Linked DNA regions of Tribolium castaneum. The protein of the gene in region 4 interacts with the protein of the main gene of each other region in a biochemical or structural test. Links are inferred from orthologs where the notes say so. Each region holds a gene or a part of one and is shown on either strand. Other genes may lie near its edges.

Evidence for each region.
Region 1: the proteins of Ubi-p63E (region 4) and PolI form a complex in vitro, tested with the Homo sapiens proteins (6 studies listed by BioGRID and IntAct, with this or other methods). The link is inferred for Tribolium castaneum from reciprocal best matches to the Homo sapiens genes UBC and POLI.
Region 2: the proteins of Ubi-p63E (region 4) and E3 ubiquitin-protein ligase AMFR form a complex in vitro, tested with the Homo sapiens proteins (10 studies listed by BioGRID, with this or other methods). The link is inferred for Tribolium castaneum from reciprocal best matches to the Homo sapiens genes UBC and AMFR.
Region 3: the proteins of Ubi-p63E (region 4) and ATPase WRNIP1 form a complex in vitro, tested with the Homo sapiens proteins (6 studies listed by BioGRID). The link is inferred for Tribolium castaneum from reciprocal best matches to the Homo sapiens genes UBC and WRNIP1.
Region 5: the proteins of Ubi-p63E (region 4) and proteasomal ubiquitin receptor ADRM1 form a complex in vitro, tested with the Homo sapiens proteins (10 studies listed by BioGRID and IntAct, with this or other methods). The link is inferred for Tribolium castaneum from reciprocal best matches to the Homo sapiens genes UBC and ADRM1.
Region 6: the proteins of Ubi-p63E (region 4) and park form a complex in vitro, tested with the Homo sapiens proteins (16 studies listed by BioGRID, with this or other methods). The link is inferred for Tribolium castaneum from reciprocal best matches to the Homo sapiens genes UBC and PRKN.
Region 7: the proteins of Ubi-p63E (region 4) and UBX domain-containing protein 1 form a complex in vitro, tested with the Homo sapiens proteins (9 studies listed by BioGRID, with this or other methods). The link is inferred for Tribolium castaneum from reciprocal best matches to the Homo sapiens genes UBC and UBXN1.

The regions. Positions count from the first base shown.
Region 1 is NC_087396.1:11,985,413-11,989,517, forward strand, and holds PolI (DNA polymerase iota), read right to left. Parts: upstream 2,801-4,105; 5' UTR 2,136-2,800; coding exon 522-2,135; 3' UTR 480-521; downstream 1-479. Other genes in the region: protein mono-ADP-ribosyltransferase PARP11, read right to left, coding at 3,572-4,105. UniProt on the Homo sapiens protein: Error-prone DNA polymerase specifically involved in DNA repair. Plays an important role in translesion synthesis, where the normal high-fidelity DNA polymerases cannot proceed and DNA synthesis stalls. Favors Hoogsteen base-pairing in the active site.
Region 2 is NC_087396.1:17,624,924-17,627,786, reverse strand, and holds the end of E3 ubiquitin-protein ligase AMFR, read right to left. Parts: intron 1,638-2,863; coding exon 1,478-1,637; 3' UTR 501-1,477; downstream 1-500. Other genes in the region: Cdk5 (cyclin-dependent-like kinase 5), read left to right, coding at 1-88. UniProt on the Homo sapiens protein: E3 ubiquitin-protein ligase that mediates the polyubiquitination of lysine and cysteine residues on target proteins, such as CD3D, CYP3A4, CFTR, INSIG1, SOAT2/ACAT2 and APOB for proteasomal degradation.
Region 3 is NC_087398.1:8,311,265-8,315,138, forward strand, and holds ATPase WRNIP1, read right to left. Parts: upstream 2,405-3,874; 5' UTR 2,292-2,404; intron 2,280-2,291; exon of another isoform or gene 2,235-2,279; 5' UTR 2,197-2,234; coding exon 1,032-2,196; intron 991-1,031; coding exon 745-990; intron 694-744; coding exon 620-693; 3' UTR 501-619; downstream 1-500. Other genes in the region: Top1 (DNA topoisomerase I, mitochondrial), read left to right, coding at 1-263; rt (protein O-mannosyltransferase 1), read left to right, coding at 2,753-3,036, 3,087-3,874. UniProt on the Homo sapiens protein: Functions as a modulator of initiation or reinitiation events during DNA polymerase delta-mediated DNA synthesis. In the presence of ATP, stimulation of DNA polymerase delta-mediated DNA synthesis is decreased.
Region 4 is NC_087396.1:13,943,037-13,947,106, forward strand, and holds Ubi-p63E (polyubiquitin), read left to right. Parts: upstream 1-1,270; 5' UTR 1,271-1,410; intron 1,411-1,524; coding exon 1,525-3,582; 3' UTR 3,583-3,672; downstream 3,673-4,070.
Region 5 is NC_087396.1:16,648,286-16,652,164, forward strand, and holds proteasomal ubiquitin receptor ADRM1, read right to left. Parts: upstream 2,386-3,879; 5' UTR 2,228-2,385; intron 1,993-2,227; 5' UTR 1,976-1,992; coding exon 1,870-1,975; intron 1,821-1,869; coding exon 1,594-1,820; intron 1,546-1,593; coding exon 1,340-1,545; intron 1,288-1,339; coding exon 1,016-1,287; intron 970-1,015; coding exon 818-969; intron 771-817; coding exon 546-770; 3' UTR 512-545; downstream 1-511. Other genes in the region: Ogg1 (N-glycosylase/DNA lyase), read left to right, coding at 1-407, 453-511. UniProt on the Homo sapiens protein: Component of the 26S proteasome, a multiprotein complex involved in the ATP-dependent degradation of ubiquitinated proteins.
Region 6 is NC_087398.1:11,672,335-11,676,324, forward strand, and holds the start of park (E3 ubiquitin-protein ligase parkin), read right to left. Parts: upstream 2,801-3,990; coding exon 2,540-2,800; intron 2,491-2,539; coding exon 2,125-2,490; intron 1-2,124. Other genes in the region: protein FAM32A, read left to right, coding at 2,939-3,148, 3,203-3,325; alpha-1,3/1,6-mannosyltransferase ALG2, read right to left, coding at 3,335-3,990. UniProt on the Homo sapiens protein: Functions within a multiprotein E3 ubiquitin ligase complex, catalyzing the covalent attachment of ubiquitin moieties onto substrate proteins. Substrates include SYT11 and VDAC1.
Region 7 is NC_087395.1:21,641,260-21,645,485, forward strand, and holds UBX domain-containing protein 1, read left to right. Parts: upstream 1-1,426; 5' UTR 1,427-1,758; coding exon 1,759-1,811; intron 1,812-1,860; coding exon 1,861-2,696; intron 2,697-3,529; coding exon 3,530-3,570; 3' UTR 3,571-3,817; downstream 3,818-4,226.

The DNA.
Region 1 (4,105 bases), about 2.0 Mb from region 4:
AAAATAAAAGAAGCTGTAAAAATTGGAGATCTTTGGGACGCAAAAGTTTCAACATCTGCAGATACTGAACCTCTTCACGCTGTAATAATTTTACACTAAGGACTACACCGACCTTGACGATGTAATTAGTGTTCTTGACTTTTTTGAAACGTCAGGCATAAAGCCTCAAGGTGAAGTCATCAGATACAAAACTGATAAGCAAACAGGCGCTGGCATTTACTCACGTTTCAACCAAAAGGCTTCAATTTACGACTCGAAAACAATCAGGCAATTGAAAAACAACAAGCGGATTACGGATTATTTTAAACCAATATAAATCTGTTGAAGATTATTTTTTATTGATGACTTATTATAAAACTGAATTTTTTATAATAATAAAATACAGATAATTTTAAAAATTGTGTATTTTTAACATCCTACCACCACGCGAAAATATACAATCTGGAATTTAGGAATGACTGGGTGGAAGAAAAAACCAATTTTTATTAAAACATATTTAATGAAAAAAATCTACAAAACCATCAGTTATTCCGGATAAAATAATTAAGCAACGTGTTGGGCTTGGTTTTCTTCACTTGACTGCTGCAAAAATTCATCTCACTGGCCCTCCTCCTCTTGTAATCCTCCCACAGCTCCTTTTGCACCTCCTTCGGCAGCTCCTTGAACACCTCCTTGTCGGCATCAGGGGGGCACGACACCGAATCCAAGCACAAATCCGCAACCTTCAACTTTGAGGGACTCTCGCAGTCTTCGTAATAGTCCTCAAAACAGCGCTTCTTCGACACGAGATTTGTCAACTTTAGTTTTTTCGGTGAGGGTGTGGGTGATTCCCCCTCCGTTGGTGCCAACTTCGAGGTTGAAGGGACGGGACTTTCGGCGTCTTCGACACCGTTCTGGTTCTCTATACTCAGCACTGACTGGACTTCAAGGTCCTTGCGCAGGAACGAAGCGAGCGTGTTTTTCGGGGGCTCCTGGAACTTCGTGAAAGAGAGGCCAAGTAATGTGATGTGGTAGGGTTTTTTGACGTCGATTATTCGGTTGAAAAGGTGCATGATCGTGGTCATGATTTTGGCTTCTTTGTTTGGTTGGTTTGAGGAGAAAATCGAGGGATTGACGTTGCATTGGCGCGTCTCTCGGTGGCTCATCTTGTTGTCTTTGTTGAACTTCCGGACTGTTAGTTTTATGGTTTTGGGGACACGCCCATCCTCTTCCACCAGAAGCAAGAGACGGTTTAACAACTGTTCTAATTTTATTTTCACTTCGGTTTCTACAGAAATTGACCTACAACTGTCTTCTAAACCAATGCTTTGGGGCTTCCCCGTCGGCTTGACCCCACTTTTATCGATACCCAAACTTAACTCATGAACTAACTTAGCTTTATCTTGCCCTAAAACGGTTTCAAGTCTCTTGAGATCAACATTTTGTAGCTCCTCAATTGTTTCAACCCCTATGCATTTTAATTGTTCAAACAACGCTCTGCCAATTCCCGGGATATCGTTCGGTGCGTTTAGGCTAAGAATCAATTCTAACGCACTATTTGGGAAAACAACAGTTTGTTGGTTTGGTTTGTGGCGCGCTCCTGCAATTTTTGCTAAAAGTTTGTTATGGGCGATTCCTGCACAGGACGTGAGGTTGAGTTCCGATTTAATAACGTCGCGGATTTCCTGAGCCACTGTTGTGGCAATGATCAGGCGCTCCGTGCAGCCACACTCACACTTATCACTTGTGTCTCCAAACACATTTCCCACAAGCTTGAGATCACTTTTTTGGTTCAATTTCTCGTTTATTAGCGTCGTCACGTCCAGATAATTCTCATCAAGACCTAGGCGTTCCACCAGAGGGGTGTACTTTTGCAACAGATTGGTTACTTTGTAGGAGGTCTGGCGATAGTCGTGTAAATCCTCGCCGTTGACTAGCACGAGGCTAGGGCACAGTTTTTTCGCCTCGGGGATTAACATGCACTTTTTTATGCCAAATTCACGGGCTGTGTAATTGCTAGTGACGACAATGTTTTTCTGCTGTATTCCTAGCGGGACCGTTCGGAGGCTGGGGTTTTTGTTCATTTCCACTTGCGCGTAAAAACAGTCCAAATCGATGTGAATTATAGTACGGGAATGGTCCATCTCAAAAGACATTGTTTTTAAATACTGATAAAAGAACTCTTGCAACTTTAGTGAGGTTATGTTTATTTCTACTGATTTGGCATTTGAGATGACTTGGCCAATCACAATGCACCAATTAGGCGGCTTATTCAAAAATTACAAGGCTACCAATCCCAAACTTAGCAAATAAAAACTTCTGAACAATTTCAACAATTAAGAAAAGTTTTATTTCACAACAGTCATCTCCATCGTAGTTTTTACCAATGTGATAGTATAAATTATAGGCAGGATAAAACTCGTTATCCTCGTACTTGACGATCACAACTCCGCCAGGCTTTTGGCACGGGTCGAACCCAAGCGGAGGCAAGTGCATATTTTCACCACCATCACAAACATTAGCAACTAACACATTGGCCATAATCATCACATTATGGTAAATATCGTCGGTAGAACACGAGGCATATTTTGCGTTTGGGAAGCTCACACCTTGGCCATACCTGTGGCCCTTATTGGTACCAAATAAGCGAAAATCGAAGTTATAACGGCAAATAGAGTCAACATTGACTCGTTAGTAATTAAATTCTCAATTTGCTGGTACTCATAATCTTTCGGGTGCAAATTTTGGCATCACACAATCTTTGACCCCAGCTTATCTACTTTGAGATTGGGGTTTGTAGCGGGCCTTTTGGGCTTGGGGGCCCAAATTTACGCAAATTTACCTTTGAAAATGGGCATTGGACCTGTTGTTCGTTGTTTCACAATCAAAAAACAGGGACACAGACACAGGGGTTATTGTTGCAGACGCATATAAAATTGCAATGCTGCCAACCCAATCAGTAAAAGATCACAGTTAATTTCAATTTTTTTAAAGAAATTGGCTTAATTTTCACTCAGAAAGTAAGCTCCCTTCCGGTATTTAGCAAATGATGTTTGAAAACGGGTACTAGGACCAGGGGCAACGGGTATTTTATTACTTTATCACACTTCAATGTTGGTCGCCCTGGTCATGAACTTCTTGATGACTAATACTTAATAGCGGTTAAATTAAATATCATAGAAAACAACAAATTATAATTAAATGTACCATAAACTGGACTATAACGATTAAAAATAAAACAGGCCTTCATCCAAAAATTTTAATAGGAATTAAACGTGGACATAAAATCAAAAGTGTATACAAAAAGCAACAAAGACAAGCAAAAACTACTTACAATTTTCGATAAATGTTACTGAGCCTATAACTAAATTTATAAAAGCAACGTAAGTGTCACATTTTCAAAGTAAATAATTTTATTCTTATCAAACTACTTCACAGCATTATTTCGTTTATCACAATAAACAAATTGCAATTGAAACTGGAATGCTTGCAATAATACTGCTGCGTATTTTGGAACATAAATAAGTTTCAACATTAAAACTATTGCTTTGGTTATATTACTAGAACGAAGTTAACAAACATCAGAAAAAACTTAAAAATGCCTGGTTTTAGCACCATCATAACGATCACCATAGTGATCATTTCTGTGATAACGATAGTCGTCATAACGATAGTTGTCATAGCGATGGTTGTCGTAGCGATAGTTACCATAACCAGGGCCATAACGATCCCGGTAATAGTTGTAATGAGTGTTATAACGTCTTCTCTCCACATGGTAACGATCATAACGATTTATGTAGTTACAATCATAACGATAATGATTGTTGTTTCTGTGTTTTTCACGCAAATGGTAATGGAGAATGTAATATGGGTAGAATTCATTATCCTCATACTTTACGATAACGCTCGCTCTTTGGTCCTTCTGGCTTGTGTCATAGCCTGGAGGCGGCAGCGACATGTCTTGGTCCCCTTGGCAGACGTTGCCTATCAGCACTTTGGCAACGATCATAATTTTGTGGTAACTGTGGGGGTCCGAGTAGTTGCTTGCGTATTTGGCGCTTGGGGAGAAATTCACCCCTTTTCCAAATTTGTGGCCCCTGTTACTCCCAAAGAGCCTCCAGTCGAA
Region 2 (2,863 bases), about 3.7 Mb from region 4:
CCCCATGGGAAGGATGTCCGCAGACGACGCTATGGCGCACGCTTATTTCAGTGATTTAAATCCAGCAATTAAAAATGACCGATGCTAAATTTTTTTATTAATTTTGAAACGTCCATTCTCTAGTCATAACCAATTTTTTTATTATGTTTATTTGGAGATTATAATTCGGTGTAAACATAGCCATCTCACTTTCAATAAACGTACTGAAACTGAGGTGACTATTTTTCATTACCATTGGATTTTTTCGTGATGTAAACCATTTTTATATTGAAATAATTGTAGGAATAAACAACTCATTTGAATTACATTATTTACGAACCCTTGCGTATTTTGCGGGAAAAATTGGAGAGGTGCAGATAAAATGCGTTTTTTTAATAATTTATTACAGCAATACTAAGCACAATAACAAAGATTAGGAGATTGACAGGACACGTAAGTACGACGAAATAAGTAACTGATATACTTTGGCCCTTAGATATCTGGCACACAATATGTTTGCATGGCAATTACGTATTTCCTATATCGAAATATAACTAGACAGTTCTATGTTTAATAAAGAGAACATGCACTTTGCACTGCATAACAATATGAAATACATGTTCGACCTACGAGGATTCCCTCGGGTCTGAGCATTTTAATTATACACAAAAATTCAGGCCGGACGTTTTAACACTGTAATAAAATCGCGTGTAAGTAAACAAAACAAACATTAAAACATAGCAAAATAAAGCACGAATCTAAAACCTAACACAAAAACGTGAAAGTATCACACGGAAATACCAAGAGTCAGTCTTTTATCACAATGTACACTACAAACTTAATTAAAATTCAAGTGCAATCTGACCAAAGCCTTTAAAAATATTTCATCCAGGGCGAGGTTCACCAGATCCGATTGGTGAGACTAGCTCTAACGATGTAACACCGCTAAGTGGTGACTAAGTTTTATTAAACTTTGATTAAGGAACATTAGTTCGTTTAAAAAGACAGTTATTTACTTCATCTAAAAATAAAGAACATAAACATTCTCAAATAAAACAACAAATTGCAAATTTATCACTCGGAAAATGACTAATCGACGTCAATTCAATTTCAGACTAATAAATATCTTAAACCTACTTAATAATTTATAACATGAATTTCATACAAACTTACAAACGCCATAACAACTTAGATATTCCTAAACTGCCATTACGAAATGATTTGTCTTTAATAAATCGGTATTTAAAACACGTTCCCGTTTTATCATTTTTAGTTTAGATCCACATCCCTTGAGCCTTGCGTTCGAAAATAAAACAAATACAATTCTGCAAGATAATTCAAATTTTTACATAATGTTATCTAGACATTTATTATTAATATCTAAATATAGCGCAGTGTTTTAACTGCAGATATTTTCAATGTACACTTTAACAATTTGTTACATCTGGGACAACTTTGTCAGACGACTTCTCCCCTAAAAAATATCTTCATAAATACTTCAACTTTGTAGCTCCACTTTTGCAGCAGCGGCGGCTTTTTGTTTCTCGATGTAGCGTTTTCTGGCGCTCTGAATCAAATTCTCTTTGCGTCTGTGGAGAATCTTTTCGCGCTCCGACGAAGACTTCGAAAATCTGCTCCCCAAACTGCTCGTATCTTCACTGAAAAAGCACAATCTTCAATATTTCTATATTGGCTATGCAACCAGTAAAACACTTCTGTCAAGATTAATAATTTTGTCTCCATGCATCAAGAAGGCTATGATTTTGATATTTTTTGCGTCACAGGTGTTTCTACTTGATTTTTTACTTAAGTGTATGCCGTGTGGCTATAACGTGTAGTTACTTGTAAGAAAACTGTTAAAAACAGATTTGCAAGAATGAATAAAAAAGCGGAAAATTCTGATGGTGTAAGTAACAAATTAAGTATTGTATTCCTAGTCGAATAAGGGTTATATGGCCCCCAGTAAAATAATTAGACTCTAATAATGAGGGGCACTGGAACTGTTTGAAAACAGAGAAAACCTTAATAATAAATGCAAATTTTGAGTTGGTGGCACGGGTCTGGTAATAAACCCATTGTGAGGCGGTTAACTTCTGTACAAAAAACCCTCTATAAAACCTTAAAACAATTGGAATGCTATAAGCTTGTATCACAAAAGTTGTCAAATCTGTATTTTATTTCGTTTTAACTCTCTTCAATTAAGCAACCAAGCAAGTAAACAACAATCATTTGTCTTGATCTTTCAAAAATTTTTATATAATGTAATAAGTATAGCAAATTACTGCAAACTTGCATTAAGATTTTTATTATTAGAGGCAGTTGCCTTTTAAGGAGCATTTCTTGTTACAGTCCCCGTACACGATGTTTGAGGCAATATCTGCTCAAGACACAGAATCAGTGAAATATTTCCTTGAAGATTTAAACATAAGAAGTAAACGCAAAGGCGAAACAGTATTAACGCACGCTGTTGTTCATGGAAATTTGGAAATCATCAAACTTCTGTTGTCCAATGGTGCTGATCTTAACGCCCTTTGCTGTCATGGCGACACACCTTTGATTAAATGTATCACCAAAGGAAACTTAAAACACGCCAAATACTTGGTAGAAAATGGAGCAAACACTTGTCAAGCGGACAGAAACGGCTACACTCCCTTAGCTCACGCTGTATACAACGAAAACACGGAAATGATTGAACTCTTATTAAAAAGTCACGCTCGGTTCACCCTCCATTCAGGCCTGTTTGAAGCTATAGACAACTGTAACTTTAAAATGACAAAATTCATGCTTGAAAAAGGCGCTGATGTTAATCTTTGCGGTGAAAACGGAGAATTTCCTCTTACGCACGCTGTTAAGAAAAAACAGTCCGAAATTGTCAAGCTTTTGA
Region 3 (3,874 bases), on a different chromosome or scaffold from region 4:
AAGAGAAAACCGTCTATGATAAAAAGAAGAAAATGTTGCAGCGCTTGAAGGAACAGTTGACGAAATTGGAAATCCAGGAAACTGACCGAGATGAAAATAAAACCATTGCTTTGGGTACTTCCAAACTGAATTATTTGGACCCTCGTATCAGTGTCGCTTGGTGTAAAAAGTACGGTGTCCCAATCGAAAAAATCTATAATAAGACGCAAAGAGACAAGTTTCGTTGGGCTATCGATATGGCAGGTCCAGATTACGTCTTTTAATTTAGTGAAATTTTACATTCATTCAATGCACCCCTGTGCTGTTCCGTGTGTAATAATGTTAAGTTGTAAGTAATAGTGAAGTTTTAACTATTAATTTATTGTGAATAAATTGAAAACGTTGATGGAAGTGGTGCATTTTTTTAAATGATTGTTTTATCAAGGAACAACTCATGTATTTTTTTTTAAATCTGGATTACTTTAGGCGACCTTGTAAGGGTTTTAGTTAATGTAAAAATATTTATATTTTGAACAATCCATTTTAGTTATTATATTCCTGTTACAATAACAGTGATTGTAGGAGTCTGTATATTACAGATTTGATAAATAAAGAACGTAAAAAACATTTGGTGGCGAAGTTACTTGAAAAAATCCACGTTTTTGAGTTCTGGAGGCATGTAATACCGTTCATCACCCTCAAGTTTTCCATACCCTAAAACAGTAGTTTAAAAAATTGGTTACGCTTTTAGTACTAAGAGCAGACCCAAATCTTTCATTAATCTTGTTGGAGCGTTTCTCAAATGCATAGGAACAGAGGGTTGCAACCCTTCACAACTTTTAATGAGCTGTTTTGCTCTAGCTAAAGCCGAATCGGCCTCTCTTGACTTAGGGGCTCTGGCTAAATAAATTGCACACTGGGCCAAAAGTACGTCACATTCGGGCATCCCTAACAATTGACACCCTTGCATTGTACTGACTGCCAGTTGTAGGGCTCTAGGGTCTGCATTACCTGAACCAGAAATTAAAATAAACATGATACAAAAAAATTACCAATATCTTCACTAGCAGCCCTGACCATTCTGCGAGCAATGTAGAGAGGGTCTTCACCACTGACTATCATTCTCGTGGTCCAGTAAAGGGCCGCATTGGGGTCTGAGCCCCTGATTGACTTGTGCATTGCTGAAATAACATTATAGTGTTCTTCCCCTTTGCGATCATACAACAAATGAGATTTCTTGATTTTTTCCTTAATATCCTCGATCGTAACAACTTTATTTTTATCCTCATTGTATTGGAGAACTAGTTGTAGGTTCCCCAGGGCAATCCTGGCGTCCCCATCGCTTATATCAGCCAACCACTTAAGCGCGTCTGCTTGCACCGCAAATCCTTTACTCCTTGCCCCCTTATCTACAACTTCCACGTTGAAATTCCGAGCCCCCCGTTCCAAAATTTGATACAAGCAATCGGGGTCCAACTTTTGCAAGACAATCACACGACAGCGGCTCAAAAGTGCCGAATTTACAGTAAACGACGGGTTTTCAGTGGTGGCCCCCACTAAAATAATGTCCCCTTTCTCCACATGCAACAGGAAAATGTCCTGCTGCTTTTTATTAAACCTGTGTATCTCATCCATGAATAAAACAGTGCGGCACCCAAATTTCTGCTGCAGCTTCGCTGCCGAGACTATATTTTGCACGTCTTTAACGCCCGCAGTGGCCGCACATAACGACACGAATTTTAATTTCGTGGGGTTGCTCTTACATATGCCTTGGATCACCCCCGAGAGGGACGTTTTGCCGCAGCCGGGGGGCCCCCACAGGACCATGTTGGGAATGTCTCCTTTCTCCAGTAGGGTCCTCAGCACGGTGTTTTCGCCCAGGACGTGGCTTTGGCCCATGAAGTCGTCCAGGCACTTGGGTTGGAGCTGCTTGGCTAAGGGGGTTGTAAAGGTCAGGGGGTTCTCTTTGGTGGTGCTTGTTGAAGACGAGGTTTTTGGTTTCTTGGATGGTGAAACTAAATCCATTTTTTGGGTTGTCTTTGGTTTGGTAGTGTTCTGGGGGAGAATTGGCGAGGGGGACCGTTTGCGTTTCGGCATGTCTTCAGCGTCCGCCGAGTTCAGGAAGATACATTTGTTAACGTGACTTTCGATCAAGCTTAACGAAAAGGGCTTGTCGCAAATAGGGCAGTTACCAACGGGTTCGTTATCTTTGTCCATCGTTGGGTTTTTTGCGAACAAAGCGGGGGAAACTTAACCTACAAACGAACATTCGAAAATACGCGCGTTGGTTTTAAATGTACTACCACCACTACCACAGACCATGACCATGTACTACCAATCTTCAGAAAAAAAAGATTCAAAAATTCAATTTTTAAAATTCAATATCTCCGAAACTAGACGATCAATCTTTTTCATTTTTGCACCATCGATGCGGAATTCTTTAAACAATAATCGGTTAAAATTTAAAAGAAATCTTAAGAAAGTGAATTTGGGCACCAACTACCTTAAATACGCTTTCTCATTTTCCCACCTTTTTGGTTAAAGTCAAGATAATCGTCCTTAAAACATAAATAAGGTCAACTCAAAATGATCCCTTGCAAACAATTATTAGGCCCTTGATTTGGAATTATAAAAATAAACATGAAACAGACCTAACCTAAGAGAATCTCAGAAGATCGGTGCTAATGACCTCGAAGTGCTACGTGGATGTTTCACCTGCCTTAATGACATATTTTCCAAAAATGTGTGTGCCTTTGCTGCTTCTTTGAAATAAATGGAAAATTTACGCAACAGGAAACATAAAGATAAGTTGATTGATCAATACAGCGACAATGAGAAAAAAAGCGCACAAAAAGAGGAAATTCAAGTCGAAAAATGTAAGAAACGAAACGGCAACACTCCTTCCTACTTAAACAATGACGAAAAAGAGGTCTCATACTCGGTTAAAAGGGCGAAGTTCCTGCGAATCAACTTCGAAATTGATTTAATCTCAGTGGGGTTATTTTTGTGTGGTTTACTGACTCGAATGTACAGGCTGGAAGAACCGAAAAATATTGTGTAAGCGAATCAACCCATTTTTTAGCACTTGCCTAATAATTTTATTGTAGATTTGATGAGTTACATTATGGAAAGTACGTCTCTCTCTACATGAAAAACACGTTTTTCTTTGATTCTCACCCCCCACTGGGCAAGCAGTTGATCGCAGCGGTGGCCTACTTGGCCGGTTTCGACGGAAAATTCAAATTCGATAAAATCGGGAGCCCATACCCCGACACAATTCCGTTATTTGCGCTACGTTTCGTCCCTGCGTTTTTCGGCAGTTTGATAATACCCACCTCTTATCACTTGATGCTTGAGCTGGGGTTGACGCAATGGACTTCGTTGCTGGCGGCAGTATTACTTTTACTAGATAACGCTTTGTTGACCCAAAGCCGTTTCATTTTGATGGAGTCAATGCTACTCTTTTTCGCCTTATTTGGCATTTTTTGCATTTTGAAATTTCGCCAATACTACTCCAACCCCTATTGCATTTTTTGGTTTTTGTGGCTGGGGTTGGGGTTTACTTCACTGACGTGCGCTTTGTCCGTGAAGTACGTCGGGTTTTACTCGTTTTGTTTGGGGGTTGCCATCCTCGGACGCGACTTTTGGAAAATGTTGTCTTCCTCCACCCTCACAGATAGGGCCCTTTTGGTGCGGTTTGTGGCCCAAACGGCCGTTGCCGCTTCAGTTTCATTTTTAATCTACTTGGCTGTTTTTTACATTCATTTGAAAGTATTGTACAAAGCGGGACCACATGATAGTATTATGACCAGTGCGTTTCAAGCCTCCTTGGAGGGTGGCTTGGCTTCCATCACCAAGGGACAGCCCCTCTTGGTGGCACATGGGTCGCAGATTA
Region 4 (4,070 bases):
TTAAACGAATTTAGCTATAATAGGGCGAAGAATACAACGAATCGTGTAAATAATTTTAGGTGATCACCAATGTCAACATGTTTACCAAAAGCGGTTATTACCGTTTTGGAACTATAAAGTTTATCACGTCTTATCCTGTATTTTTGTAGTTGGACTACGTTACGTTTAGCAACTGTTAAAGCCGAATTGTATATTTTAGGTAACATGAAATGTATTTGTTGACTGCTTAGTTTTATAATGCGGACGAAAGATTTATGTTGAAGTAATAGAATTACGCTTTGTTAAAGTATCATAATTTTGAATTGTTGATATAGGAAGTATGAAATTATGGCGTATAATCAATCTGATGCAATATTTTTGTTGTTGCTGTAATTTCGGTAGCATGTTCTTGTAGTTTTAATTTTATGGACGCTGTGTAGTGTAAAATGGCCCATTATTTTTGTAATTAATTTTCATATTTTAGGGGTTTGTTTGCCACAATAATTGCCTCTTTATGTGATATTTGTTTCCATTTTATAGACACAAATGTGCCTTATCTATTACAATATGAAGAATAAATAAGTTGTAATGAATTACTGTACTTTTCTTTGTCCCAAATGACCCTTTTACATAATTTATTATTGTCGTCCGTATTTACATGATAAACAAGACTCTAGAACAACAACGATAAGGATAATTCTTTGTAAACAAATAAATTCCTTTCAAAATTGAACAGACGAATTTGGCATTTCATGCAGGTATTAATGGGTGGTTTATTTGAAACGTTTGAAAAGCATAAATTGGAAAATAAATTAAAATTTGAAAAATAAAAAAGGGCGTAATTCCAAAACAAAGAAAACAGCTGATCGATAAAGCTGACGACGTAGATAAAAATCAGCTGACATGTCACCAACAACTACTGGCCAAAGTCCCTAGAATCTTGTTCAATTAAAAGCAATTTTCTTAATACCTGAAACATTGTTTTGACCACGATTAACCGAATTGGCATTAAACTGATAGCAACTAAAGTTTATGTATAAATTTTTGATTAAAGAGGACGTTTTTTGGATAATTAGTCGAAAATTCTAGAAAGTGTACTTTGGGTTCGAGATTAAAAAGGAGTGGGGGAAGCCGTCCGTATAAAAGCGGTTCCACAGCTGCATTCGCCATATTGTCTGAGCAAAAGTGGTGAAATACAAAAGCGATTTAATTAAAATTGTGAATTTTCCTAGCCGTAAAGGTATGTATTTTAATTTCATCATGAATTATTCGATTGCAAGAAGCGCAGAAAGTCGCAATTTTGTGAAATTTTTCGCATGACGCAATAACATTTGTTTGAAAAAACATCGCCCTAGTGACGTGTTTTTTTGTTTAAATTTTAACAAAATTAATTTTGTAAATTTGTCGATCTGTTCAAAACCAAACCACATAGTGAGTAATGTGTTTTTTCGGTTTATTCAGTGCGTAATTCTTTGTTCAACGAAATCCAATATGGCGGCTTGGAAATTTGCTTTGTCACAAAAGTAATTTTTTGTGTCGTTGCAGATGCAGATCTTCGTGAAGACTTTGACTGGTAAAACCATCACCTTGGAGGTCGAGCCCTCCGATACCATCGAAAACGTCAAAGCTAAGATCCAGGACAAGGAAGGTATCCCCCCAGACCAGCAACGTTTGATCTTCGCTGGCAAACAACTCGAAGACGGACGCACTTTGTCTGACTACAACATCCAGAAGGAATCGACGCTCCACTTGGTTTTGAGATTGAGGGGCGGTATGCAAATCTTCGTTAAGACACTCACTGGCAAGACCATCACTCTGGAAGTTGAGCCCTCTGATACGATCGAGAACGTCAAAGCCAAGATCCAGGACAAGGAGGGCATCCCTCCAGATCAACAGCGTTTGATTTTCGCTGGTAAACAACTCGAAGACGGACGCACCTTGTCCGATTACAACATCCAGAAGGAATCCACCCTTCACTTGGTTTTGCGTCTGAGGGGAGGCATGCAGATCTTCGTCAAGACCTTGACTGGGAAAACCATTACTTTGGAAGTCGAACCTTCCGACACGATTGAAAACGTCAAGGCTAAGATTCAGGATAAGGAAGGGATCCCACCAGACCAACAAAGATTGATCTTTGCCGGGAAACAACTAGAAGATGGGCGTACCCTCTCAGATTACAACATCCAGAAGGAATCCACCCTTCACTTGGTATTGCGTTTGAGAGGTGGCATGCAAATTTTCGTCAAAACCCTGACTGGCAAGACCATCACCTTGGAGGTCGAACCTTCTGATACCATTGAGAATGTTAAGGCCAAGATCCAAGACAAGGAAGGTATCCCACCAGACCAACAAAGATTGATCTTCGCTGGAAAACAACTTGAAGACGGCCGTACTCTTTCCGACTACAATATCCAAAAAGAATCCACCCTCCACTTGGTGTTGCGTCTCCGAGGTGGCATGCAAATTTTCGTGAAGACTTTGACTGGAAAAACGATCACTCTTGAAGTCGAACCTTCGGACACAATCGAAAACGTGAAGGCGAAAATTCAGGACAAAGAGGGGATTCCCCCAGATCAGCAAAGATTGATTTTCGCCGGCAAACAGTTGGAGGATGGTCGCACACTCTCCGACTACAACATCCAGAAAGAGTCGACCCTCCACTTGGTGTTGCGTCTCCGTGGTGGCATGCAAATCTTCGTAAAGACTTTGACTGGGAAGACGATCACTTTGGAAGTAGAACCATCGGACACTATCGAAAACGTTAAGGCGAAAATTCAGGACAAAGAGGGGATTCCCCCAGATCAGCAGAGGTTGATCTTCGCCGGCAAACAGCTCGAAGATGGCCGAACTCTCTCCGACTACAACATTCAAAAAGAATCAACACTCCACTTAGTATTGCGGCTCCGAGGTGGCATGCAAATTTTCGTTAAAACTCTGACTGGCAAAACCATCACCCTGGAAGTCGAACCTTCTGATACAATTGAGAACGTCAAGGCTAAGATTCAAGACAAAGAGGGTATCCCACCAGACCAACAAAGATTGATCTTTGCTGGAAAACAACTAGAAGACGGCCGTACTCTTTCCGATTACAATATCCAGAAGGAATCCACTCTCCACTTGGTGTTGCGTCTCCGAGGTGGCATGCAAATTTTCGTGAAGACCTTGACGGGAAAGACGATCACTTTGGAAGTAGAACCCTCAGACACAATTGAGAATGTTAAAGCTAAAATCCAGGATAAAGAAGGCATTCCTCCAGATCAGCAGAGGTTGATCTTTGCTGGCAAACAACTCGAAGATGGGCGCACCCTGTCGGACTATAATATTCAAAAAGAATCAACCCTACATTTAGTATTGCGTCTGCGAGGAGGTATGCAAATTTTCGTGAAGACGTTGACTGGGAAAACAATTACGTTGGAAGTTGAGCCATCGGACACGATTGAAAATGTGAAGGCCAAAATTCAAGATAAGGAAGGTATTCCCCCAGACCAGCAAAGATTGATCTTTGCGGGAAAACAGTTGGAAGATGGTCGCACACTTTCGGACTACAATATCCAAAAGGAATCCACTCTTCATCTAGTCTTACGTCTTCGCGGAGGACAGTAATTTTCTGGAATTTCTATGCTTAATATTTTTTTTACTTTTTGTTACAAGTTTCCTGAAATTACGAATAGAGAATAAAGATTGATGGCTTAATTCTTGTGTTTTATTTTAGTACTCCATGTGAATTAATTCAAAAAAATGCTTATCAAAATTTTAAAACATTTGGCTTTACGGGGTTGGTTTGTCTTTGGATTTGGAGCTTAGACGAGATTGTAGGCCCGCGAGAATGTACGCTCACGAGAATTCTCCAAAAATCGCCAACACACAAATTGAAATTAAAAAAAGATTTGAGGTATATTTCCAACAAGGCAACAAATTCTTAAAAAAATAAGTTATTCATATGACTGCACATATTTTGGAGTAATTCGTTAAGCTAAATACAGTGTTAAAAATAAAGACTTCACTTTCATTGATATTCGGAGAAACCGGACTTGGCAGCCGATCGAATTTGACGTTAGGCATAAAAATAAAAAACTTAAAGACAAAAAAAA
Region 5 (3,879 bases), about 2.7 Mb from region 4:
TTCATTCCCCAAAATTGATTCTTTAGCCGATGATAAGGTCGAGTCGGTTTTAAAAAAGGAGGGGTTTGGATACAGGGCTAAGTACATAAATCAATCAGCGAAAATAATAATGCAGGAAGGTGGCGAAAAATGGCTTGACGATTTGAAAAAACTGCCCTATGAGGAATCAAAGAGTAAATTAATGACTTTAACTGGGATTGGCCCTAAGGTGGCGGACTGCATTTGCTTGATGTCTTTGGGGCACTTGGGGACAATACCTATCGACACGCATGTTTACCAAATTGCGAGAAAATTTTATATGCCACATTTACCGAAACGTAAAAAAGTCACAGCGACGATTTATAAAGACATTGGGGACCACTTTCGGGAGCTGTACGGCCCTCTGGCAGGTTGGGCACACACTGTAAGTAAGTGGTCAATAGTTATGTGAAAAAATGCAGTCAAATTTTTAGGTCCTTTTTTGCGCCGACTTGAAAAAATTCCAAACCGACGAAAACTAATCTCATTTTAAATTTTATTCAATAAACTCAGTTTAATACATTTAGTTAATCAGTTTGCATGTGATCATCATCCTTATCTTCTTTTTTCTCGCCTTTCTTCTCCTTATCCTCTTCCTTTGACGAGTTTCCTTCAGTTTTTTCCAAGGCTTTCATAAAGTCTTGCATGTTTCCTTGCGCCGCCGCTGCCACCGCCTCCGGATTAACCGCCAATTGAGACACAACCGGCCCCAACTGTCCCGACTCTAAAGCACTAGAAAACTGGGAAACGGCCTAGAAAAAATAATTAGAACAAAATTTTATTAATTTTTGTTTATCACTTGTTGGAACTGGGGCGAATTCAATGTTGCTCGCAAGGCGTCTTGGGGGTCACCCTCAACGGCCGGCAAATGATTTTGCAGGGCCTGAATAGCCCCCGGATTGTTTAAAATCCCGGACAGTCCTTCAGCAGTCAAAGCAGTTGATAAATCAACTAAAAATATTTTATTACACTTTTTCTTCAAAATTGTTTTGATTACCAGATTGTTGAGACGAAGCTTGAATTGGGGAAATCCCCTGCAGGAAATTCTGCAAGTCTGATAACTGAATTTTATGCCCGCATGGTGAGTCCGACGACCGGTTGGCTCGGGGGGCGCCCGGGGCTGTCGTGGGGGCTGTAGTTGTCTGCGGAGTGGCCGGCGATTGGCTGACGGCTGTGGTGGTGGTGTTGGTGGTTGGGGTGCTTGGGACTGTGGTACGGTGAGTTATAGCGGGGGTAGTGTTAGTACGAGCACTTCCGCTGTTGGGGCCCCTAAGTGTCATAGTTTTTACTATGCGTTTGAGCGTAATTATAAATACGTTACCTGATGGTCCCCAAGAGACTCGACAGCCCCCCCATCTGGCCCACGCCGCCTCCAAATAATTGCATGAGTTGGGATTGCGACATGTTATTAAACAGAGACTGCAAGTCCTGATCCGGGGACTGCGACGACTGGACCGCGCTTGAGGGGTTGTTCAACAACTCGTTTATGCGCTTGCAGTTGTCTTCGTCTTTATCAGTGCGGGGCTCCTATGGTTTAATTGGTGATTTAATTAATTAAGAAAAGGGGCGCCCTACTTGCAACCAGAAGAAAAATTTGCGATTGGATGATTTAAATTTCAACAAATAGACTCTTCCAGTGGTGCACTGGGGCACTTTAATGTATTCGCAATCATCAGGGAAGATTATGAGGTCGTCCTCAACAATACCGCTGGTGCGATCTTGCCAACAGAAGTGCATCAAAGAGTCCTCGCTTTGGTACACGTAGAGAAGACCCTTGCGTTTGTCAGGGTACACCATGCGACCTAACAAAAATTTGATTATGGGAGCTTACTGAAGAGTTTTGATAATTACCTTTCAAACTCATTTTGCCCGCCCGTACTTCAACCAAGTGTTTGTTACCGCCAGTTGAACCGGGGCCCGTAGCGGCACTGCCGAATAATGCACCTCCAGCAGGCATTTTTGCAATGTTTTGTTCTAGACAGTAAAGTGAGGTTAGGGAATGATGACAAGACAAAATGTCTTTGTGCTTTAAATTAATACAAATTTTTGAAAATAAAATAGAATAAGCAGATGCAAATGATATATAAATTATCACCAAATTTTATATCAATTCGTAATTAACGTAATATAGCAACAAATTTAAAATATCAGTATTTTCTAGTAAAAAATTAAATATATTTCTAACTTAATGTTTAAAAGATATACTTACGTTTTGTAATTAAAATGTACTTGAAATAATGTTATTTCACAAAGTTGGGAGTTGTGTATTAGTGTCCCTAATGATTTGTTTCACTTGGAAAAATCCACAAAGGAGGTGGTAACCTTAGGGATAGTTTGGATGGGTTGGAACTTGTGACACTTCCATAAGGCGCCAACATTTTGAAGGTTTGAAACTGATCGGGGAAAAACCTACAGCCACAACGTCCCTGATTAAAATAACACCTATAATTTTTCGCGTAGCAAACAAAAATTACAGGTAGATGGAGCATTAAATCTTAATAGTAAGACAACCAAAATGCAAAACTTTTATCGTAAACCATTCGTAAAAAAAATAAATTAACTTTTGCCAATTTGCACTCTGCCTCATTTATTTCAAAAGGCTGCAAATACGGTTACAGATACAAAAAATGTTAGGAAGGAAGTTGTAGAGAATTAAATTTTCTACAAAAAAGTCCGCGAGACCATATGCCTGTGTCCAACTATTTAGGCCCCAAAATTTGCTTCATTTTGTCGGTGGTCAAGTATTGGAAAGTTTATTTATACCTAAACTGTTGAAGATAGAATTATGGTGTTGTGGACTTTTTTATAGAAAATTTAATTTTTTTATAGTTTCTTACACTTTTTTTGTTTCTGTAATCGTATTCGCAGCAAACGTAAAATTATAAGGTGGAACGCAAATTGATAATTCTAAGCGAAAATCCTTTTTGCACCGTCACATATTTATTAGATATATATCTTCTACGGTTTAGGTATAAATTAACTTTCCGTAACTTGACCACTGGTAAAATAAGACGAATTCGTTGCTTCAGCGTCTTTGGGGCCTAAACCATTGACGATAGACATATGATCTCGCGGACTGTTAAAGGAAATTTAGTTCTCTACAAATTTCTTTTGAACATTTTTCTTACTTCTTCAACTGTATTCGCATCGTCTTGAAAAATACGGGACCAACAGCACATTTTCAATAATTTTTGTCTTATGTTTATTATGTAAATTTTAGTCGTCAGTCTTTCTCAGTCAGTGCAAGGCTCAACATTTCTGCATTTTTTTCAAGTAATTAGTGCAATGGTCAAATTTAAATTAATTTAAAATGATTTGGCGCCGAGACGTTGTAATGCTCGATACGCCGTCAGTTTTACATTTTTACTCTACCGTACTATTTTTCTGGGTTCAGAAAATCAGGCGGTTTTGTATCTCATTTTGTCCTCTAAGTTATAGTCCTCTGTAGTCTTAATACGGGAAATAGTAATAAAAACAACTATTAAATAAGTAGAATATATTAATAATTTACATTTAGTTATTAAATTAACAACATTATGAAAGTTAGTTAATAAAATATTCTAACATGGATATTGTAATATTTAACAAAATAAAATACATTCATTGACTTGGGTAGTTTGCGATTTGCATTTCTCAAATATCAATTAAAAAAAAGGTTAAACTAGACAGTTCAAAATATTGTGAGACTATCAGTGATTATTTCATTGTTATTAATCTATGCCTATTAGCATCACTGTGAAAATTATCACAAAAATAGTAATTGCGCGATTATTCCGACTTATCACTAGTAATAACAAAGAAATAAATATTAATAAAATTAAACCGACATAAACAGGAACTAGCTACTCGTCTAATATATTT
Region 6 (3,990 bases), on a different chromosome or scaffold from region 4:
ATCATAGTCGTTCTTAATTTGTGTTTTAAGAGCAAGCTAAACTAAAATATTTCTAGCGAAGGTCGTTAAATCGATCAAGTATTTTCTGTTACCAAACGAAACTGTCTATCTTTGCTTTTGTACGCATCTCACGCACAAACAAAATATTATTGTAGCGCTTTAGTAGATTCCCGTTGAATACATTTTTATCTCAAAAAAGGTAATATTAAAAGAATTAAAAATTAAATTTACCTACTTATGTGCTACCTACTAGTAATTTCTATTGACACTTAATTAAAAGAAATGATTTAAGACAGGTACAAAGATAGAAAAAAAAGCAGGTAAAAAAGGAGAATTGAAAAGTTATGGTAATCCAATTGTCTTTGTTTATAATTTATTATTAATATTGTAATCTAATAAAAAATCTAAACTATTATTCTTGTGTGTCGTTTTGATTATGGAGCGATTCTTACTTATTTTTACATAATTTTCTCTTCCTTATACAGCGTTCAAAATGATGTTGCCAAACTTTACGGTGTTATAGAGGTCACTAAGATAGAAATGTTTTGCTGATAAACGCTGATAAATGAGCCGTTTTGCCTCTAGAGTCATGTCTTTGTCCAGAAATGATTACATTCAAAAATTCCCATAAAACTTACGTTTCATAACGTTATTTCAATAAATTGTCAAAATACCACTGCCTTATTTCATGTCAGTTTGCTCTACTTGCGTTAATGTTTGATAAAAAAGTATTTTAAACATGTATACATTTGTCAGAAAATAACAACAAACATCTATTTTTATTTTTTTTGAATATTGATTAATTTTTCCGGCGCATCCACCATTTTTTTAATTTGCAGTTTGTTAATAGTAAATTGTTTTACACTTGTTTTTCTTATATTTTCTGTACACTTGTACATTTTTGACTAAAGTTATTCAAAGTAGTATTTGGAAATGTTTAATTTGATAATTTCTCCCGGCGCATCCACCATTTTTAAAACGCTGTCTTGTTCACTTTAAGACACCAACTGGTGTCAAAAGGCGGTGGTGTGTGCATGTGTTGTTGTCATTAAGTCATTGTTAATTCCATCTTTTAATGTTTACTTCCAAGAATTTGAACGAGTAAAAAGCCTGATGATGTTTATTACATTAACTTTTAACTAAACTTTTTAAGGAACTTGGTCTTATCGTCGTGAATTTTTTTAAAATCAATCAGTCAAGGACGTTTAAAAAATTTTTATTATAACAATTTTTACACAATACTAGAGATTTCATCATTTCAATTTGAAACAGTTGTAAAATTTGGATTTTTTCAAGTCACAAGACATTCTACTTTGAAGCAGATTTTTTTTAAATAATTATTTCTTTTCAGTCCTATAACTCGCTTACGGGTAGTCCTATAACAAAAGTGCATAGGACCAATTTTTGTAGGAAATTTCATCAGCTTTAATTTTTGTAAGAAGGTGAAAACCGACAATGATTGTTTCCGTGGTATAAGAAATAAAACGAAAAATGACACACTTAACCCTCTCCCCCATCTCGAGCTCAGCCTCCATCCTCTGGGATTTTTAATATCTGTCTATCTAAAGAACGCGTTTAAAAAATTCCAACTCACTAGGAATTTTTGCCACCAACCGCCCAATTCTTGTCTGGTCTAACTTGACTGGGCTAGATACCTGATTTATAGCTGGAACACATTTTCTAAAAATGTTATAGAGACCCTCAGTAGTAACCCAAATTTCAAATTTAGATTTACATTCAATAAATTTGGTAACTGTAGAAAATTTTAACTTTATGATAGAAAAAGAAATTTAAAAAAGTATCTGAAAATATTTTGGCGTATATTGTTTTTAATTGTCTTCAGCGACTTTTAGTTTTTAAAATTAACATTGATTTCCCTGTACCAGAATTTCGGTTTAGCTCGCTCTTATGGTGTTAATGAATCTGCTGCTTCTAGTTAGGTGAGCGGACATTACGATTGCAAACATTTTAAAAATTTTCGCAATGCTCCTTAGTAAGCGTAAATATTTTTAACTTTAAATATTTTGACTATAAACATTTTAAAGGAAAATTAAATTTTGTCCAGTACTATTTTTAGTGTGGAGTGTTTTTGACTAATTTCAATTAAATAATTAAAAAACGTACGTTGGCGCACAATTCGGGGCTATTCTCACAAAGGCCGGTTATCTGCTTTGGCTGCAGCACATCATTCCAGTTTTGGGGGTCTGAGTGCACCGTGAAAGCCCCCGATTTGCAAAAGTGGCACCGAACTCGCAATTTCCCATTTTTGAGGGCTTTACACGTGGGGCAATAGACAAAAAAGTGGACTTTGCGTTGCTCGGTGGGCCCTTCCTCGTAATCATCGTTTGAAAAACTCAAATCTGATAAGGTCTCACACAGAGGTTTGCCCTCGTCACTTTCCTCAATTACGGCATTGTTTAAAGTGGGAGGGTTGGGCTTTTTGGTGATTTTGATAGCGTGGAGGGTGCTTTGTTGGCCCAAATCACATTCCTAGAATGACTAACTGGTTACGACTAGTGGTATTGAGGGCAAAACTCACAGAAATACTAATGTTGTCTCCCAGCTCTTTTCCAGCGAAAATAATCTTTACCTCGCCTGGTTTCAGTCCCAATTGGGGCGCAACGAACTCTTTCACCTCTTTTATGTCCCAGGTGGGGTCCAAATCGACCGAAAGCGTATTCCCTGTGTTGGTTTTTATGTAAATACTCAAATTATTGCTCAGCGTTTTTCTACTAAATGACAGAAATTGTAACATCTTATGCAACAAATCTTTAATTACGTTGATAATAAAACTCATCATCTGTGGTAACCGCGGCCGGGCTTATTTTTAGAAAAAAACATTTTTTGTGAGGAAATTTCATAACCTCATTCTTGGGGATTGTCGATCCGTTACGTTGGTTGTTGTGTGAAAAATTCCAGAAACGTCAAAACAAACAAGATGGGGCAAAGTGACGACCCATACGCACAAGTTTGCAAGGGAAAATTGCAATTAAAAGGTGATAACAGCATTAAAAAGAAAAAGAAGAAGAAAGATAAGAAGTTGTTAGAGCAAGTGAGCAAAATTGTCGAAAGTGAGACACCGGAATCAAAGCCTGCGAGGCAAAAAACAAAAGCCGAACTTGCGTTCTTAAAACAGCAAGAAAAAATGGTAAATAAATCACATTTCGTGTTAAATTTGTTGCCTGATTGTTACAATTTGCAGCAAACTCAACGCATCTTGGAAAAAGCGTCAATGACACACAAAGAAAGAGTAGAAAAATTCAACCAACACTTGGACGGGCTCACGGAACACTTTGACATACCTAAGGTCTCTTGGACTAAGTAAAATATTTATTTAAATAAACTTCTTATTTACACTAGTGTGATCAAGGATTTTCTTCAAATTCCTTGCAAAACTCTCATTTGAGAATTTCTCCTGCAACACTTTGCGCCCCTTGAGCCCCATTGCCTTGTTATCCGACTTGAATATCCTGTACATGAATTGCGCTAAACTGTCGGGGGTCGGTTCGCATAAATAGCCCGTGTTTCCGTGGTCGACTGTCTCTCGGGGGCCCCCACTGTTGCACGCAATGACGGGCTTAGCCACCGTCATTGCCTCGAGGGGGACAATGCCGAAGTGCTCCTTCACGGGCGTGTAAACGAGGCAGTCACACGCCATCAGAAGTTCCGTCTTGACGTCATCGGGGGGCGACTTGAGGAAAATAATCTTGTCTTGGAGCCCCTTCTCAGCGACGAGTTTCTCCAAGTCGGTGAAATAACTGGCGTTTATGGACGATTGGGGGTCGTAGCCCCCGGCCATAACCAAGAAAATGCCTTTACGTTCATTTTCCGAGGTGATTCTTTGCAAAATTTCCATCGCATTGATGGCCAAGTCCAGTTTCTTGGCGGGATGGAAGCGGTTGATGGAGAGGAAGACACAGGCGGCGTTTTGGGGTATTTCTGGGATTATTTGGTGGATTGGTCTGGGGTTTTTGGTGTTTTTGACGGCTT
Region 7 (4,226 bases), on a different chromosome or scaffold from region 4:
CCTCGCCTCCTGCTCCCGCTCCCCAACTGGACCGTGCCGCTGCTCGCTGTCGACTGAAGCGCTCTCGCCGCCTGCGCCGCACACCTAACCTCGTGACACGTCACGGACGTGACGTCACACAAGCTTAAAACAGTTCATCACCAGAAATATTCAGTGGCAAAATCCGTCAAATTTAAAAACATTCATACACAGAATTATGCAAAATAGAACAGTATTGATCTAGAAAAAGTCATTACACGAAATGTATTTGTCTAGAAAATCATTAACACCCAAATCAAAAACGTAACAGAGGGCGCTGTTAAAGGTAGAAATGTAAAGTCCCTAGATTTATCGAAATGGTTTCCTAAATATTCAGATTTTTAATGGCAGTGGTCTGAAATTATAAAATAATCGTAGTTAATGGAAAAATAAAGACGCATGTTTTTATTTAAACAGAAACTGGCGACGTGAAATTTTCTGCCCTTGCAGAGGATATTTAGGGTAGGAATTTCTACCTTGCATTAAGAATTTCAATGCTACTGCCAAATAGGGACAAAAGTCTCCAGAAAATTTAGCTCTAGAAAAAGTAGGGTTAGGATTGTTGTGCTCACTTCTGAAATGTTAAGTTTTCACTTTAGTGGACTATTTTGTGTGTCTTTCTGCTCTTTTAGAGCGTTATTAATTCTTATTGAATATGTAGGGGCAGATCAATCTACCTTGAATCAAAAACGACAACTTCAGTGTTATTCATAAAAATGTAAATTTTAATAATTGCAAGTCCAAGTTGCCAGAAGGTTGGTTGGTTGAATGACTTTGGTGCAAAGAACGAATGTTGACAAATTAGAGATGACGAGAAAAACACGAATAACGAATGACTGTTTGTTCAATTAGGTACTTTATTGTAAAATTATTAAAAGCACATTGAAAAGCCTACCTTTTGGAACAATATACTTAAATGTATGAGCAGTTGTTAATCTTAATTGCAGTTTTGTGGATTCACTCAAGTATTTCACACACTTCAACAATTATTGATTAGGCAATTGTTTTAATAACACTTTGTTGTCAAAAGTAAAATTTCTTTAATTTTATATCAACTTTTACATTACAAACAAAAACATTTGATAATTACGAAAACTCACAACCAAAAGCAACGCTAGTATTTACCACCACATACTTTTAGATTGACTCGCTCTAATGTAAATACACGCAAAATTGCTAAATATTCATTAAATAAGAAATTACGAAAATTTCGTTACTGTTTTCGGCAAGAACGACATGTCGTCACCTGAGGGCGTCTAGATAATTTTATTCCCGAATTGATGCACGTTTCTGGTAATGAATTTTCTAGATAAATACTGTCATAGGCAGCATCCAGTGCCTAAATAAATAATGTTCTGTTTTGAATGATTCTGTGAATGAATGTTTCTCGGTTTGTGCGATTCTGCCAGTGAATGTTTCTAGGTATGTGCTTTTCTGTTGATGCCAAGTTCTAGACGTAAATTTTCCTAGATCCGAACGCGTCCCCAAAATTAACCACATTTTAGGAAAATATCGCGTAAACTCATTGTTTTTGATCAAAAACGTTGAGGACACGTTGCGAAACCGTCCGAAATACAAGTTTAGTGTTGTTTGTGCGTTTATCAGCTGATTGCATTTTTGCCGGTGTTGTCACATCAGTATCGTTGAAATACGCATTGCATGGTGTCGTTTTACGCGAAAAAGTCGGTTTTTCGACCAGTTGTTTAGTCAAATTCGTAGTGCAAAGCCCCTTATTAAAAAATGTCGGGTACTGTGGACACCTTGGTCGAGATGGGCTTCAGCAAAGCACGAGCGTAAGCCAACACGTCATTGCGGTTCAAATTACCATTAAAATGCTTGCAGTGAGTTAGCAGTTTCCAAAACCGGGACCGAAGACATCCAGGTTGCCATGGACTGGCTGCTGTCCCACGAGGAAGAGCTGGAGGACATGCCGGAGCCCCCGCAAGCCGCCGACGCCTCCGCCCCCGAAGCGCAGCCCAGTCCCGAGGGCCAAGTCGTCAGGTCCTTCAAATGTGACGACTGCGGCAAGCTGTTCAAGTCGCAGGACGAGGTGGAGTTTCACGCCACAAAGTCGGGCCACGAGCACTTCTCGGAGTCGACGGAGGAGAAGAAACCGCTCACTGAGGAAGAAAAGAAGGAACAACTGGCGAAAATCGAAGCCAAGCTCAAACAGAGGCGCATGGAGCGCGAAGCGCGCGAGAAACAGGAGGCCCTGGAGAAGGAACGCAGTCGGATCAAGTCGGGAAAGGAGCTGCTGGAGGCCAAGAAAAAACACGACGAGATCGAGATGAAGAAGCTTGTGGAGCAGCGAAAGCGGGAGAAGGAGGAGGAAAGGCTGGCCAGACAGCGTGTGAAAGAACAAATCGAACAGGACAAGTTGGCTCGGAAAGCGAAATTTTCGGGGCAACCGCTGGAGGAAGCCCCACAAGCTGCTACGCCGGCGCCCCAACCGGCGGCCCCCAAGCCGGCGGCCGGTTACTCGGAGGTTATGCTGCAGATCAGGCTCACGAATGGGTCGTCGCTTGTGCAGAAGTTCGGGGCCAAGGAGCCCCTGAGCGCTGTGAGGCTGTATGTGGAAATGAACCGAAAGGACGGGGAAGGGCCCTTTAGCCTTATGACGAATTATCCAAAGAAGGTTTTCGGGCCTGAAGATTACGATGTTCCTTTAGAAAGTCTAGGTAATTGCAAAACTCCGAAGGACTAAGAAATTTCGAGTACTTTCGGCTCCGAATTATTTTAAATTCAAAACATTCACCAGAACAATGATTTTGTCGAAAATAAACCAAAAAACTACCTAATTTTTTGAGGGTTTAAACAAGTTTGTGACAGATCTTGTATACAGTCACGGAATTATTTGCGAATTTTTGTTTAAAACAGGCTAGCGAATTTTGCTAAACAAGACCTAAAAATCACCAAAATGCTTGGCGCCTCAAAATGTTTTGCAATAGTTTACTGTGAATTTGTATATATTTTGTAAAACTTCGTTAAAAATAAGCGTAGAAATAATCAAATTACCTCGATAATTGTGTATTTTTTGCATTAGTCGGGGCTTTAAACACGTTTTTAAACTTACCGCCCGAAAAATTACTGTAATGAATAGAAAATATATCGTTTTTCTAGTGTTTAGGGGCTTTTGAGATAAAAAAGTTCACTAAATTGGGTCGCAAATGACAACATACTTCGTTTTCCCAAAGATAAAAAAGTCAACCATTTAGGGTCGAATATTTGACCAATTTTTTTTTTTTCATTTTTCGAGCATTTAGCCGGTTTTTGACTTAAAAGCCGCCTTTATTCTTCATGAATTTAGCGCCTCTTTTCACTGTAATTTAATATCTACGACTTTGTTCTTGTATTTTGCTCCTTTTGTACCAGAGATCACAAACTGGCAAAATTTTTGTTGTTTTTAGTGCTCTAATTTTTGTATTCGCTTTTGCGACGAAAACGCCTCCTAATATTTTAGTCCTCCGTTATAACCAATAAAATTTCCAAAAAATACAAGAATGGGTTTCAGGTTTGGGTCCAAGGGCCACACTCATCGTTTCAAAATCGTAATTAGGTCAAATGCTGCACAAACCTTATCTACTCTACCATCGTACGATATTAAAATTGCTTAAATAACGCTGGAACAATAGCTGGGATGTTCTTAAGTAACTAGGTGTAAGTATCTACAAAACTATACAAATTTATGTTGGAATATTTTTTAAAATATACATCATTTTGTAAGCCAGTAGCTGCTGTATAAAAATATGCAGCTCGTTGTGTGTGAAATCTTGAGCAGTAAATAAATTTTTCATATTTCCTTGCCGAGTCGCTCCCTAAGAAACGGTAAATAAAACAACCAACCATCGACCACATTTTATTTTCAATTATTACAATTAATGCTCTCCTGTTCAGACTTAAATCAAAACAAATGAATTTCTACAACTTACCACGTAATTACAAAGACCGGTTTTATGCAAATTAACGAGTGAACTGAAAACCATGACAATTATTCCTAAAATCTAGGCATGTTTCATTTCCCCCCACATTCGTTTTATTTGTGTTCTTAATTTAATAGTTACGTCATTACGAACAATTGATGATTCTTAAAAAAATAAAACTGACTGCAAGAACTCTACTCACGATAAAATTAAACATTACGTAAGTAGAGTTCCTGCAATTTCACGCCTTATTTTGATGCAGGGACTAGGCGGAGTTGTGCAATTGTT